Linked DNA regions of Mytilus edulis. The protein of the gene in region 1 interacts with the protein of each later gene in a biochemical or structural test. Links are inferred from orthologs where the notes say so. Each region holds a gene or a part of one and is shown on either strand. Other genes may lie near its edges.

What was found.
Region 2: of the proteins of cell division cycle 7-related protein kinase-like (region 1) and claspin-like, one has a biochemical effect on the other in vitro, tested with the Homo sapiens proteins (3 studies listed by BioGRID, with this or other methods). The link is inferred for Mytilus edulis from reciprocal best matches to the Homo sapiens genes CDC7 and CLSPN.

Annotation. Positions count from the first base shown.
Region 1 is NC_092357.1:43,430,349-43,437,884, reverse strand, and holds the start of cell division cycle 7-related protein kinase-like, read right to left. Parts: upstream 3,165-7,536; 5' UTR 3,051-3,164; intron 1-3,050. UniProt on the Homo sapiens protein: Kinase involved in initiation of DNA replication. Phosphorylates critical substrates that regulate the G1/S phase transition and initiation of DNA replication, such as MCM proteins and CLASPIN.
Region 2 is NC_092346.1:40,924,605-40,932,573, reverse strand, and holds the start of claspin-like, read right to left. Parts: upstream 3,215-7,969; 5' UTR 3,077-3,214; coding exon 3,056-3,076; intron 2,082-3,055; coding exon 1,982-2,081; intron 1-1,981. Other genes in the region: THUMP domain-containing protein 2-like, read left to right, coding at 3,303-3,386, 5,788-5,926, 6,746-7,455.

The DNA.
Region 1 (7,536 bases):
TGTACATTATTTCAAGCCAACTAATGTTTATCGGGTGGAATACAGAGCTCGTGACGGGGTACATTTCACTGTTCAAAGAGGGTTACCGTGCCTTCTAAGTAGCTTTGAGGAAGTCGGTCAGTTGGTTTATTAACAAAGTTAGCAAATGAACTGAAATATTTTCTCAATGTTTAAGAAGAAGAAATTTTTTTTTAACATCGAATGACTAAAATAATCCAAAAGTTCTTGCATATTTTTAATTTTAAATTATAATTTGCCAGAAGAAAGCTTTTTTACAGGTGAAGTACTGGAGAAAACTTTGTTTAATAAAACTAGCCTATTTTTGTTAATTATGGTTTTGATATTTCAACTGTTATTTATTTTCTTTGTTCCTAAAAATTATTCTTATTTTATGTTCCTTTTCGTTTGGTTTTTTTTTGTATCTTTTTCTTATTTTAATTAATATAATTGATCTGCATTTGGGGGATGGGGTAAAAGGGGTCCGGATCTGGAAATCCCTGGCTTAAAAACATGAAGTCCCAAGGTCCCGAATTTAAATAAATTTAAATCCTAAATTAATATAATTGATCTGCATTTGGGGGTAGGGGGTAAAAGGGGTCCAGATCTCGAAATCCTGGGCTTAAAAACACGAAGTTCTTAGGTCCCGAATTTAAATAAATTTAAATCCTAAATTAATATAATTGATCTGCATTTGGGGGTAGGGGTAAAAGGGGTCCGGATCTCGAAATCCCGGGCTTAAAAACACGAAGTCCCAAGGTTCCGAATTTAAATAAATTTAAATCCTAAATTAATATAATTGATCTGCATTTGGGAGTAGGGGGTAAAAGGGGTCCGGATCTCGAAATCCCGGGCTTAAAAACACGAAGTCCCAAGGTCCCAAATTTAAATAAATTAAAATCCCGACATCGCGAAAAAAGAATTTCCAGATCCCGAAAGGGTTAATCCCGAAATCCCGAACTTAATTGCATAATATTAATTTACGCACAACCATGTAAAAAAAGAAACTTGTATGTTATATTTTTTATAGCAATCTAAAAGAGAAAATTGCCGTGAAAAGACAATTCCATGATACACATATCAGTGATCAACAGCGTGTGCACGTGGTTGAACTTTAACTTGACTCCACTCACAATAATATTGAATGCTAATAAAAGATATTAAAGATCGATTTTGTCCACTACACGAGATTTTTATAAGGCGGGAAATGTAACAGTAAACACAGGTGACCTTACTGACCGACCGTGGGAAAATTCATTCATGATTAAATTTGATGTGGAATGATTGACAGTATTGTGCTTTAGTTTTGAGGCTCTTGATCGATTTACCAGAATAGAAATTTAATCGATTTACATACATGTATAATCAAAGCACGATTTAGTCGTCTTTAACTATTTTTTGTTTTATTTTTATCAGTCATTTCCCGGATTCCCATTTATCCATAAAAATAAGTCCCTACCCGTACTGTAATGCAGCCTTGGTAAACCAAGACAGTCACAAGCCTGTTTAATGCAGTGTCCATACCGTAATATAATTTCATTATCTCTTAATGATTAATTATGTAATGGGCACGTGTCAGTAAACAACAACCGAATTAACAATATAACAGAAGTGTGAGGTAATGATTATTTTGTTTATTGGAACATATTAACTCATTATCACTACTAAATTATATATTTGGTACTGAACATTTCACTATTAAAACTTATTCAATGTATGAAAATAAAGGAAAATAGCAATAAAAAAAAACGTAAATACTAATTTTAGAAGAATATTATTTCTGATTTTTTAGTAACTAATAAATTAAGTAAATTTAATACATTTTAAATGAAATAAGAAATAAATGAAATATAATAAACTTAGTGAAAGATTGTCTTCTTTGAAATTAAAAATTAAAAATTTTATTTTATTCTTCTTGTACCATGTTTTTTATACAACATTATAGTTACTTGTAAAAACATTTATATTTGCCAATGAAAATCTTTAATTTAGTTTTGAGAAAATTTTGTTAGAACAAACATACGAATCATCCATTCAGAAGCTTTGTTTTTATTAAAACAATCAAGTATAATAATTTTTTAATTAAATTTGAATTGAATATGTGAAAATTCTTAATTACATTTTATTTAATGTTGAGTAAATTGTTATGAAAAGTAATTAGTGATTGGAGTAATTGCATTGCTTTGATGTACTGGTTAAATTTTCAAATCCTTTCTGAAAAACAATCATTAGACAATTCTCTGTATATACAGTAAAATATTTAATACTATATTTTCATAGCGTTTTCCTTTAAAGGCATATGCAATCTTTCTTTTATTCATTCCGTACGATTTCCATGGTCGCCATCTTGGAAGTACACACCGATATCCATTAATTTATAATGATCAATATTAACTTACCTGCAACTTGTAAATCATTTTTAGGTTATAACTGTATAATTTACACTTCTAATATAATTTTATTCAATAATATATGTTTAAAAGTCACTCAAATGTGTTAATATTGATATTTGAAGAGTTATTCGGTCATTACATGTGTTATTCGGATAATAACAGTGTTATTCGGTCATTCGAGGTACCGTCTAATGGCTATAGCTGATATATTGATTGATGAGGCTGTTTTTAAGCTCAGGATTTCAGGATTGACCCTTTCAGTATTTAAATTTATCTAATTCAGGACCTCTGGATTTCGTGTTTGTAAGCCCAGGATATTGTGAATCAGGACCCCTGAACTCGGAGAATCAAATAAGAAAGTTACTAATCACATGGCAAAATCTAAAGACAAAACACATCAAAATCGAATGTACAAGAAACTATCATATTCCCGACTTGCTACAGGCATTTTCAAATGCAGAAAATGGTGGATTAAACCTGGTTTTATAGCACTAAACCTGTCAGTCTCACTTTGTTGACAGTCTCATCAAATTCCGTTCTATTTACAATGAAACCACTTTCAACACTATTGCTATTGTTTTCAGACGAATGACATGAATTTTACTTTGATTGCCTGTAGGTATGGAATATAACTTTTTATAAGATTACAGTTTCGTATACCTGTGCGATTTATTCACTTTCTTCTTGTTCAACTTTTCAACAAAACCAAAATGCCCGCTAAAATTGAGTTTCTCTTGTTACTTCCCTTTGTATTTTGGAACACTGGACAACTCGGCCCGATGAAAACTCGGACCGACTAGTAAGTTAACTCGGACCGTACAATTTAACCAGCACAGCCAAATCGTAGGCAGGCGCGGATCCAGAAGGGGGGGGAGGGGGTTCCTGGGGTTGGACCCCCTTTTTTTGGACGATCAATGCATTTGAATGGGGACATGTAATTGGAACCCCCCTTTGTCCTGGGTTAGGAACCCCCCTTTTTAAAATGGCTGGATTCGCCCCCGGTAGGGTCCTACTAAAATGCGCCCGGGGAAAAGAAAAAGCGCCCGGGGAAGAAAAATTAGCGCCCGGGTGAAAGAAAATGCGCCCGGGGAAAATATATAGATATTTTATTGGCATGAGACAACTTTGTGTCGATGAAATACGTTATGTACATTGATTTTTTTTTTATATTTTAGACAAGTAATTTGAAAATTCAGATAATAGGCATTTATAATAAAGCACAAAAACAAGTATGAATTTTTCAATTTTAACAATAATATATAAATACTATTTCGAAAGACAGATAATAATAGATCACAGTTTTATGAAGAAGATTTATAAAATGTAAAACTTCAAAAGACATGTTTTTCAAAAACAACATTAAAATGAAAAATGTAAAAAAACAACTTAAATTTCACAGATAAATATCTAATCAAAATTAAAAGAGTTACACATAATAAATCAGCAAATAAAGTAGTACTATACATGTACAGTAGTTAAATGAAGGGGGTAAAAAGCATGAGTTAAAACTAAGCATTAAAATCCTGATAAGCATAGACATTAAAACAGTCAAAGTTTTAGTTTTATAAAAAGATATAAACAACACTTTAGATGTAGCATCGTACATATCCCCATTTATATAAAGGACATAACAAGCAAAGATTTTTTTTAAGGAAAATATTCATTGTTATAAAATAGTATTATTTTATTCTCCCGGGCGCTTATTTTCCTTCCCCGGGCGTTTTTTTTCCCGGGCGCTCTCGGGCGCTCCCGGGCGCTTTTTAATAGGACCGAAATCGTAGCGTCCGTAATGCCATTTTAAGTATTAGGGAACAGTCATTATTTACCAGCTGGGGGGTTGGGTAATTTTTTGGGGGGTCAAAATATTTTTGATGAACATATTGGGGGGTTCAAAAAAATGTTCCAATATTAAATGGGGGGGGGGGGGGTCAATTTTTTTCAAACAGAATTTTCAACAACTACAAAATTTTATGTTCTCCTTTCTTGACACTGTGGAATTGCTTTTTATATTTGTTATCTTGGTTCATGTATACATGCTTCTAATATTAAATAGGTATAATTGGATTTATAGCATCAATGACTAGCACAAGAGGATATACCACATGGGAAGTTAAATAGATATAAATTAGTATGACAAATATCTGATGTATTTATGACTGTGGTTCTGCATCAAAAATAAATACTGACATCTGATTAGTATCAGATAAGTGTGATACAATCAAGCAATAATCTTTGCCTAATTATACATTTAATCTGAATGTCTCACCCTTTTAATACATAATAGAGCATGAAATAGTGACCTATTCCAGCTGCCCTGCCATCCCTACAAATCAGTTACATAGTAAGTGGCCTCTTTGGGAGATAATATTGACTTTAAGCAATTTGTTTATCAACACAGTCTTATTTTAATTAAAGATGGATAGAGAAAAGAACGAAAATGCTAAAATATTTCAACGTAAGCCTTATATAGAAAAAACGATTTTAAAAAGAAAACTTCAAACAAAATATTGTGAAAATGATATTCGGATTTCTTTCCAAACATGCTCTACATTTTTTGAAAATCGACAAAAATTAAATGGATACATGTATGAAGCACAAAACTCCAAGTTTGATTTTCGTTCTCTGCTGGCATTACTTGCTGTTTTAGATCATCTTGAGTGCAGCACACTTATAGAATTCCAAAATGCTTTTGAGATTTATTCATCTTATTTTGAACATCAACCAGATAAAAATGTTTTTCGGGACAAGATATTGGATGTTGATAAAGGACTAGTTTGCTGTTATTCCATGCACCCTTTTGATAAAGTAACATACATTTTTTTTGCGGCAGTGTAATGTTTCAAAGAAAGAATTGTTTCTTAATTTGATAGTATCAAATGATGAATTTACATTTATTTCCAATATCAATGGATTACAATACATATGTAAAAATACAGTTGATAATGAAACAAATAACATTGATATTGATCAAGTTTGTAACATAGGGGTAAAACTTGCAAAAGCTCTCTTTGTTTTATTTGAAAAAAATGTTTTTACACACACAGCCAAGTGTCTCATCCTTGAAAATGTATGTGACAGTGTTGAAGAGAGATACTGGGCGTTGTATGAAAGCAGTCATGAATGTTGGAGACAGGGAGAGTGTCGAGATGAAAGCGAGAAAGATTCAGATGAAAGTGAAAGTAACAGAGAAATGAGTGATCATATGGAAGATGTGAGTGAAAGTGGTGAAGAAGTTGTACAAGAATAGGTTAGTCATGTTTAGTTGTTTATATCTAAAACTTGTTATGTTGTGTAAATATGTTTATAAATGCATGTTTTCATCTTACAATAAAAATATGCTGTTAATTAAATGGTTTAAATCATTGATAAATAATAGCAGCAGATGGGGGGGGGGGGGGGGGGGGGGGGTCCAAAGTTTTTTATTAACTACATTTGGGGGGGTCATTTTTAAATTTACAATATGACTGGGGGGGTACATTTTTATTTTGTTCATTTCGCTATGAAATTCCCCCCCCCCCCCCCATCTGGTAAATAATGACTGTTCCCTTAACAGATACATCAGTTTGGGAAAGATACAAATTTGTTAACGCATACATATAATCTATTAAACCTAAATTGTTTCGTTCTTTTAAACAGTATAGTTTATTTCAGCGGAATCATAGTTGTGTTTTACCTTTAAACTTTTATAAATGATTCTGAATTATCTACTGAACAGGAACATAGATATACTGCTCCCAGATTAAAATGAATGTGTAAAACCAGGGGCGGATCCGGCCATTTTAAAAAGGGGGGTTCCCAACCCAGGATAAAGGGGGGTTCCAGCTATATGTCCCCATTCAAGTGCATTGATCGGCCAAAAAAGGGGGTTCCTACCCCCGGCACCCCCACCCCCTGGATCCGCCAATGAAAACATATCGTTTAACGTATACATGTGCAATACTAGTATTTGGAAATATCTTATAAATATCAGGAAAATGCATTGAAATTAAAAAATATATTTTACAAAATATATAGAGTTTTTTTTTTTTTTATTAATTTGACATAAAAATCAATTAAAATTTTGAGAAACCTCTGATACCTCAATCATGTTCTACCAGACTAATTTATAAATCAGTACACATCAAACTGATCTATAGCTAGTGTAAAGAACATATTTATTTATACTGGATTTGGAAACAAGTTTTTGCAACTTATATTAATTCCTTTCCACTTTGCGGGTGCGAGTACTGCCTTGTAGCGGCATTATCGCACGCTTTTTCGAAATCTACAAGGGTGTCTTTAACGTGCAAGAGTATAGCTCTATCTTAATTAACATGGGTAAGCTATTTTTCGTCCCCTTCCGACGGACTATCATCGTTTCCTGGAGACCATACTCGCAAATGGTGTCAAGGACCGGAGAGCCGAAAATTCAGTCCCTGAAATTCTCATCCCAGACGAGTAACCTTTGTGTTAGTAGTCCAATGCACTAACCACTACACCACGGCTCTCACGATATAAACAGTCCGAATCCGATTATATGTTTCTCACTTTTTTCTGTTGGTTTGAAATTAAAAAATGTTTTTTTTTGAAAGATTAATAGAAAGATAAACTTTTGTTGACAGCTTATTGAAAATCATCTTAAAAATTACCAGAATAAGGTGACACGAAGGGGACTTCGGAATAGAAACAAATAGCCATTTTTAGTCTATTCCAAACCGTCAGATAACACCTCGACAAAATTGGGCATTCGTTTGTTTGTGCAATATGTATAAATACGCAGAGAGACGTTAAATCCACTGCCACGTGTAGTGAAAGAATGTCATGCTCCAAACAAGTCAAGAACACTTGCAACAATTCTTTGAGAGGTTGGTGGTCTTCCCAAAGGAAAATTTTCAATCCATATCTAATATAACCTTATATTCCATCCTACACCCATGTCCTTATTACAGGACATACATCTCTTGTCAGTGAATGTGTTCTCATCCTAGACATGCATGCTATGTATGCGACAGGAATGCAGCACAAACAAAACCAAGAACACTCATCACAGAGAAACAAAAACAAAAACGCCAATAGCAACCAAATAGTTATCAAAGGTACCAGGATTATAATTTAGTACGCAAGACGCACGTTTCGCCTACATAAGACTCATCAGTGACGCTCATTT
Region 2 (7,969 bases), on another chromosome or scaffold:
TTCTAACACCTAAAAGTTTTTCAATTAATGATTTTTGAAGAATATTATTCTCAATAGTTAGAACTGGTTCTGCTTGATTTAAACGCAGCCTTTGTCTTGTACCTATAACCATACATTTCGTCTTATCCGAATTTATGAACATGCTATTTTCATGACACCATTTTTCAACGCATTGGAGATCATCTTGTACAAATGTACTTTTAATTGCATATCACCAATAGTCTTTCCTGATGTATGCATAGTTGTGTCATCAGCATACAGGTCTGTATGGCAGTTTTTGATGTGTAATGGAAGGTCATTTATGAACAAAACAAACAAATGGGACCAAGTATTGAGCCCTGTGGAACACCAAAATTCATAAACTTTTTATCAGAAAACTGATTATTTATATGGACTTGCTGTGTTCTTTCACTCAAATATGATTTTAAAAAATCAACAGTATCTTCATGGAAGCCATAAATTAGAAGTTTTTTTACATAGAATTTCATGATCAACAACATCAAAAGCTTTCTTAAAATCCAAGAGGACTGCCAAATTGATATTTCCATTATTCATTTCATGTAGCCATTTATCAATACAAATGTATTAATGAGGGCAGTTTGATATGAATGGTTGGGTCTAAAACCAGACTGGGAAGGGTGTAAATTATCAAACTTTGTCAAATATTTATACAGATGTTTAGATACATGTCTCTCAATTAATTTTGATAATGTTGGCAAAACAGATATTGGTCTGTAATTGCTAGAGCTCTACATTTTTTTCACCAGATTTGAAAATTGGAGCTACTTCGGCATTTTTTAAAACAGATGGATAAATACCAGTATCAATCATTCAATTAAAAATGTATGTTAAGGAAGATGCTATGAAAGGAGCACTAAGTTTTAAAATCTTTGGACCTATATTGTCAGAACCAGAAGATGTCTTAACATCTAGTTTAGTTATTTCAGCAAATAGTTCTGAAACTTTTACTGGAGGAATGATGAATTTATTATGCCTTTTTTTCAAGAATTTCATTTGTACATACATTGTAGTTTGTCAGAGTATTAAAATTTGAGTTGCTTGGTGCCCTACTATGCCTTAATTTTTCAACAAGTCATGAGGTGAAATAATTATTGAACGTATTAGCAATTTCTTTATGGTCAGTTGTTTTATGGTCTCCATTTGTAATAAGTTCATGTGGTTTTGAAGGATTAGATGGATTTAGGCTGTGAATACATTTCCATAGTGTTTTAGAATCTTTTGAGTCTTTTATCATATCATTATAATATTTCTGTTTAGATGTATCAATGATATATTTTGTTCTGTTTCTCCAGAATCTATATTCAGGCCACATTCCCAGTGAGTGATATTTATCTCTCATTTTTCTTGCATATGAGATTTCTTTATTGTACCATTCAGGCTGTCTGTCTTTTTTTACCCTCTTTTTCACAATAGGGGCATGTTTATTTAAAATGTTGTACCACATTTCAATACAAACAGATGGATCATTTTCAAATTCAATATGTTGAAAAGGTGCACTTTTAAAATCTTTTAAATAATTTTTCTCATTAAAAGTCTTAAAATTTCTATAAGTGATTGTTGAATGAGAATGTTTTTTATCACACAATTTCTGTTGTCTTGTCATACATATTGGGTAGTGATCACTAATAGAATATTTAGAAACATGAGCCTCTTTAACCATGCTTAAACTGGTGACATATATATGGTCAATCAAAGTTTTTGATTCATTTGTTACTCTAGTTGGTTCCTTAATTACCTGTTGAAAGTTATGAGTTTCTAGAGCAATTAACCATCTTTGTCATGTTTGTGGTATTTTATTGGGTTGTAAACAATTTATGTTAAAATCTCCCATAAGGATTACATCTGAATTATATTTCATTGCAATCTTAATACATCCATGACCAAATGACATAGATATCAGTCACTTCATTTGTACACACTCAAGTAAAGATACTATTAGTTGATACCACATTGTTCTAACCTTGTTCATTAAATGGCTGACTATCCTCATCCATTCCTGAATCAGCTTTATCACTTTTGTCTTCCAGTTTCAATTCATCCGCATGAATGTTATCTGATTCCTACAATTATTAACCATACACTATCATACATACATTAGAACATTGTAGGTAATTAATGCCTTTAAAATTCATCTTACTTTTGAAATGGCATTCACCATTTTTGAATTATAGCAATGTCCTTATTTTTTAATCATCATTTGAACAATTATACATATTAGACAGTAAATAAACTTTTGATTTAACTAGACACATTATCCCTATTGGGAGATTTGTTCTGCTTAACCAGAGAATCTTCGCCTAAGAACTTTGATGTCATACAACAATCACTTTATCATTGTGGCATTTGATATTTTTTATTGTGACTTCAAAATTTCACAGGAACCTTAGCAATGTCAAGAAATGGCAGACAAATAGTATTAATGATAAGGTGTATGGAAGGGGGACAATGCAGATGGAAATTATATAAATAAAAGTCAGAGAAAATTGAGTTGTTTAAGAGGCGTTTTGAAAAATACAAAATTAGAACCACTCCTATATCAAGATTTAAATATCAGATGACGATCAAGTATATTCAAAGGGGGCTTATGGGGCCCAAAGGTATTGGGTCTATTCATTCTGGTTTCTTTCTCCTACTTCATGGTTACGATTCCCAGGATGCATGTTATTTTTTGTCTCATTATATATAAGAAATATGACGGAATAAAACTAAAACGATGTATGTTGGATTGGTAGTTTTTATAATATCAATACAATTCATGATCTTTTATCTGAACATCCTGCAGCCCCCCCCCCCCTTTTTTCCACATAAATCCACCTCTGGATATGCAGTGTACTGCTCCTTGGCTACTGTTTATATCCATGAGAAGACCCACTATCAACGGATCTTCCCATGGACAGAAACAAGTGCCTGTGTGCTGTGAACCAATAATTTTTTGTAAATTTATTAGGTTAAAATCAGCCTTAAAAAGAGGGAATTTGGTACAAACAAATAAAGCTACCATGGGTTATTTTGTTTTTCGTTTTTTATATATTACCGTGTGAATACTTTGTTCCATTTGAATAACTAGACTGTTTTCTAAGTTTTCGTTGTTTACACTTTTTCCATTTCGCGCGTAATTCCAGAGCAGATGACATGCGCAATTTCCGGAAGATTATTTCCGGTTTTTTTTCCAAAGTATTTTTCTTCCTGGTACATTCGGAGCTCTATGGAGCGTATTCATATAATTTAAAGAAAAAGTCATATACGATATATAACGTCTTCCCGCCATCTCTATCTCCAACATGATAAGATTTTATTGCACTGGAGGAAGAGGAACAGAAAAGTTCATTAAAACAGAATTAGAGAAAAAACTGAGAGCACAAAATGTATATGAAGATATTAAAAGATTTGTACAACAACACAAAGAAACTATCTATCCTACATGCATTTCTTACTAAAGTTATTTTAGAAATCTCTTTAAACATATGTAAAACACACTCAGATTTATATAGGGGTGTAAAGGGAGGGCAACTGCATGGATGAACGCAAAATAAAAATAAAAAAATAAATAAAACTAATTCATTTCTCGTTAAACATTTAAACGAACAATTAAAATTGTCCTGCATGTTGGTCTTTTTACTGATTCACGAAACACAGGGAATAACAAGCCTTTTTCACGGCTGCACGTGAAATAAAAATGGCAAAAAGTGTTGCACTAAAATAACCCTTTACCACACTCTTTACAATGTCATGGGTTTAGCATGTATCAAATTAGAGTACCATACATTGTTGACTTATTTATATGTACACAAGACACATCACACAACAATCATGTTTCCATTGTGCATGTTGTGGCGTCATATATTTGGTATTATGACGTCAAATTTTATAAGGACCTTTGTCAGAGGCAGATTTAGGGGGAGGGGGCCTGGGGCCCCCCATTTTGGGAAAAAAATTTGTTGCTTATATAGGGAATCACTGAAGCGTGACTGGAGTGGGCCCCCTCTTAGGCAGTCAGTGGGCCCCACTTATGGAAATGTCTAGATCCGCCAGTGTTTGTGGTTTCCAAAGTGTCGTCAAATATCAATATGGTGTATCAGTTCTTTCTGTTACATAGGAAATTTCGGGGGAAAAAGCACACACTGGAAAGTCTTCTTTATAATCTTATTTTTCTATTATTTATATATTAGAATTACGATTTTTTAAGTTTTACTAGCCTAGGCCACACTAATTTGATTCCTTGTTCGACGGACCCGCCTGCACCTATTTTTTTCAAAACAGAATTTTTTATTTTTTTTTATATTCCCGCTTCCCGCATCCGGAAATGTAATCATGCCCATTTCCTGCACCGTTTTTTTTGTAAATATTATAAAAAGATATCAACATTTGTTTATAAAATCACAGTCTAACCTGTATATATAAGATTTTACACATAAAAGCACACCACCAGTTCACCACACTGTGTAAATATCTGTGAGAATATTTGTTTCAGCATTAAACCTATTTATCCAAAGTGGGAGTGCTCGATATAAATTTATAACAGCGGAAATACCTGTAAAGAACAAAAGATTGGTTTCTTTCCCCCTTACTTATATTCCCTATCAAAAAATGTTCGTTGTTAGAATAAAGTACAAAGAACTTCTGAAGGATTTGCCTTCAACTGCAATTATATTGTATGCTGGCGAAACAAAACTATCCATAGCCGCTGCATGTTTAAGCGCCTGTCCTGATTGATTCAGGGGCCTGTCATTCAGCAGTTATCGTTTGTTGATGTTGTTCATTGGTATTTTCCTGTTTGGATATATAAATTAGATCATTGGGTTTCCTGTTCGAATTGTGTACGCTAATAATTTTGGGGTCCTTTATAGCTTGCTGTTTGGTCTGTATCAAAGCCTTGTGTAAAAGGTCGTACTTTTACATGTGTTTGTTATTATCAGTTTGAGAACAACCCTCCCAGGTCTCCCTCAGACAAGTATTTGACAAAGGGTCATTTTACTGATGTAGAAAAGAAAACAGAAATACCAAGGATTTGTATAGTTCTTCTATACAAAACCTTTGAAAACTTAGAATTTTGTACTGAAAAAGAGGAGAGTTACATCATATTTTAAACAACTTTTTCTAAAAGAGGGGTCCACTTATTTTGAATAATATTAAACTGTTAAAGTAAATGTGTTAAAAAGTCCAGGAATATTACAAAATTCTTGGACATGTTTGACCATTTAATACGAGATAGATAATATATAGTTCTTTGAGAAAACATGAGCCCTTTAGTACAAACAAATATATTATAACTTATATTGATCCCTCAAAAAATATGTAAAAGGGATATTTATAACATTAAGGGGTTGCCCCCAAACTGATTATGACTTAGATGGAGAATTGTCTCATTGTCAGTCGCACATACATAGACCAGATTTAATTATTTCTTGGTGAACAGGGAAAAGTTACTTCAGAAATTAAAGAAATGTCAAAGAACAAGTGATAAATCAAGTTTTAATATTGTCAAAACCTACTATTTTATGTTTACAAAAAAAAATTATAATCGCTCGCCTTTACTTTTCAAGCTTCGCAGAAAATCCGTAGAACAAGATATTAAATTGGTGTGGCCCTATCTAAGAAATACTGCTAACATGCCTTGGAACCAATTGGTAATATTACAGATTTCTTTGAAGAGACTATTATTTTATTGAATCCTTTGAAAATTCAGTGCTCACAGTTTTTAGTTTGGACTGAAAATGATAGAATTCCCAGATTATTGTGATGTTTTTTTTCTTTTCATTTATATAGATTGTTGTCTCTGATGGTAAAGTTTATTTTGATGCCAATATCTCACAGATTCAGCAGATTGTAACACTGAGATCAGTAGAAAGAATATTTGTACATATCTTACAACTGGATTGGAAGACGATACGAGAAATAAACAAAAGTAGGTACATGTATTCTTTTGACATGGTTGGAACAAGGCGAGAAAATTTCACAAGTTTTGATATACAAATTTCTATACTTTTATGTTAGTTAAAAAATAACCATGATAACCATCAATTATTACTGCAAATGAAAGATCATTTTAATTTTCGGCTTGTTGAACATCTTGACCTTGCTGTAATATATTGTGCGTGCCTTTAAATTCATCATTTTAAGATCTTAAACTAACTTTCAAAGGATAAAAAGAACCTTAAAAGGACTGTTTACATGCCATTTCTTACAATTAGATAATATATAACAAGTCAATTTATGCAAGAACTGTGCTGCCGTTGAAAATTCTTTGGTTGGGTTGTTGTCTCTTTGACACATTCCCTGTTTCCATTCTCAATTTTATTTTACAATTATGTCCAATAGAACTTCCATGACTATTGATCATTTGAAAATTAGAACAAGATTTTTTTGATTCATAGCTAAAAGTAAACCACAAATTTAAAAGTTTTACAGAGGATTGTCTTTTAGTATGCATATTTTGGCAAAACCAAGAAATTAAATATCCATGAAACAACACATTTTCCTCAATCATGTCAATCCAGGAAAAGGAATAAGCAACATTATTTGTATGAAAATTTGATGCAAATTCTAAGTTGAATTTGAATTTGAAAAAGTAGATCATTTTTGCCTTAGGATTGGAACGACAGAGAAATGTGTTAGATTCATTTATTGAATGCCATCTAATATGAAATTTGAATTACCATAATTTTCAGTCAATTCATTCTTATATAATTTTCCCTATGATTACAATATATAACACATTTTGTAGAAAAGCAGTATGATAGAATTTCCTATGTTCATGTGAGACGTGCTATTATGAATGCTGATATATGGAATGATCCTGTCATTCATCAGATCCCTCATGAAGTATTACAGGTCCAGAACACAGCCATGATAGATGAGAGTTCTCCAGATTCAAAACATCAATCAACTTCTACATGTTCTCATGTCTTGGAGAAAACATCAATCGATTGTTCACAGAAATTAGAAAGCATTAAGCCTACAACAACAAATACAGATACATTAGTCGAAGTTTTAAACAAAGAAGGCCCAGCCACCATAGAAAAGCAAAATGAACCTATGGATATTCAGCATGATAGATTGGACATACAACCAGTTGCTTCTGTGGAAACAAACAAAGCAGACTTACATGTACCTATTACAGAAAAGAAAAGCATTTCGGATGATGTAAAAAACATTGAATGTGATAAGCATGATGTTGATTTAAAAGAACCTGAAAGATTAAGCATGTCTGTCACTGAGAAAAAAGATCAACTGACAGAAACCCCAAAAAGTGAATCAGAAAGTGGTTTGTTGAAGGTAGAACAATCTCTAGGATCAACAAAATCAGTTAAAAGAAGTTGTAGTCCTAATAGAGAAAACCCTGAAGAACCTGTAAAGAAAAAAGAAAAGTTAGACTTTACATTTAGAGTGACTTGTCGCTGCACAGGCTCAGTTGGCAAATATGTGTATGCACAGGTAATGGTATAAAAGATTGAAATGTGTATGCTTTATATCATTGAGTAAAACAAATTTTCAATAAATGAAAGCTTTATGCTATCTTTTCAAAGTATAGGTATGTTATATGGTAATACATTTTTATGCTAGAATGACATAAAGACAAAAATGTAATCACAAGTCTTTCACAACTGCATGCACTGCTAAGTTAAAGTTAAACTTTGACATACAAATAAATTACAAAAAATATACTTTTAGGTATTTTAAACAGTAGTACATGCAGTGATGTCTTCGTTTTAAAATGTTACTTTGTAATGATAAGTTACAATCTGAGTGTACACTATTGAACAGTGCCATTGTACCTATGAACAAATTACATCCCGATCAAATTACTTCCCTTTACCTAAGTGATGATCAAATTACTTCCCTTTAAAATCAAGAAATTTCTTAGTATTTATTTTTATTGTTTAAAGGTGAGATACGGATCAATTTTGTATTTTATTCTAGTGAGGTCATTTGTTTAGTCCAAACACAT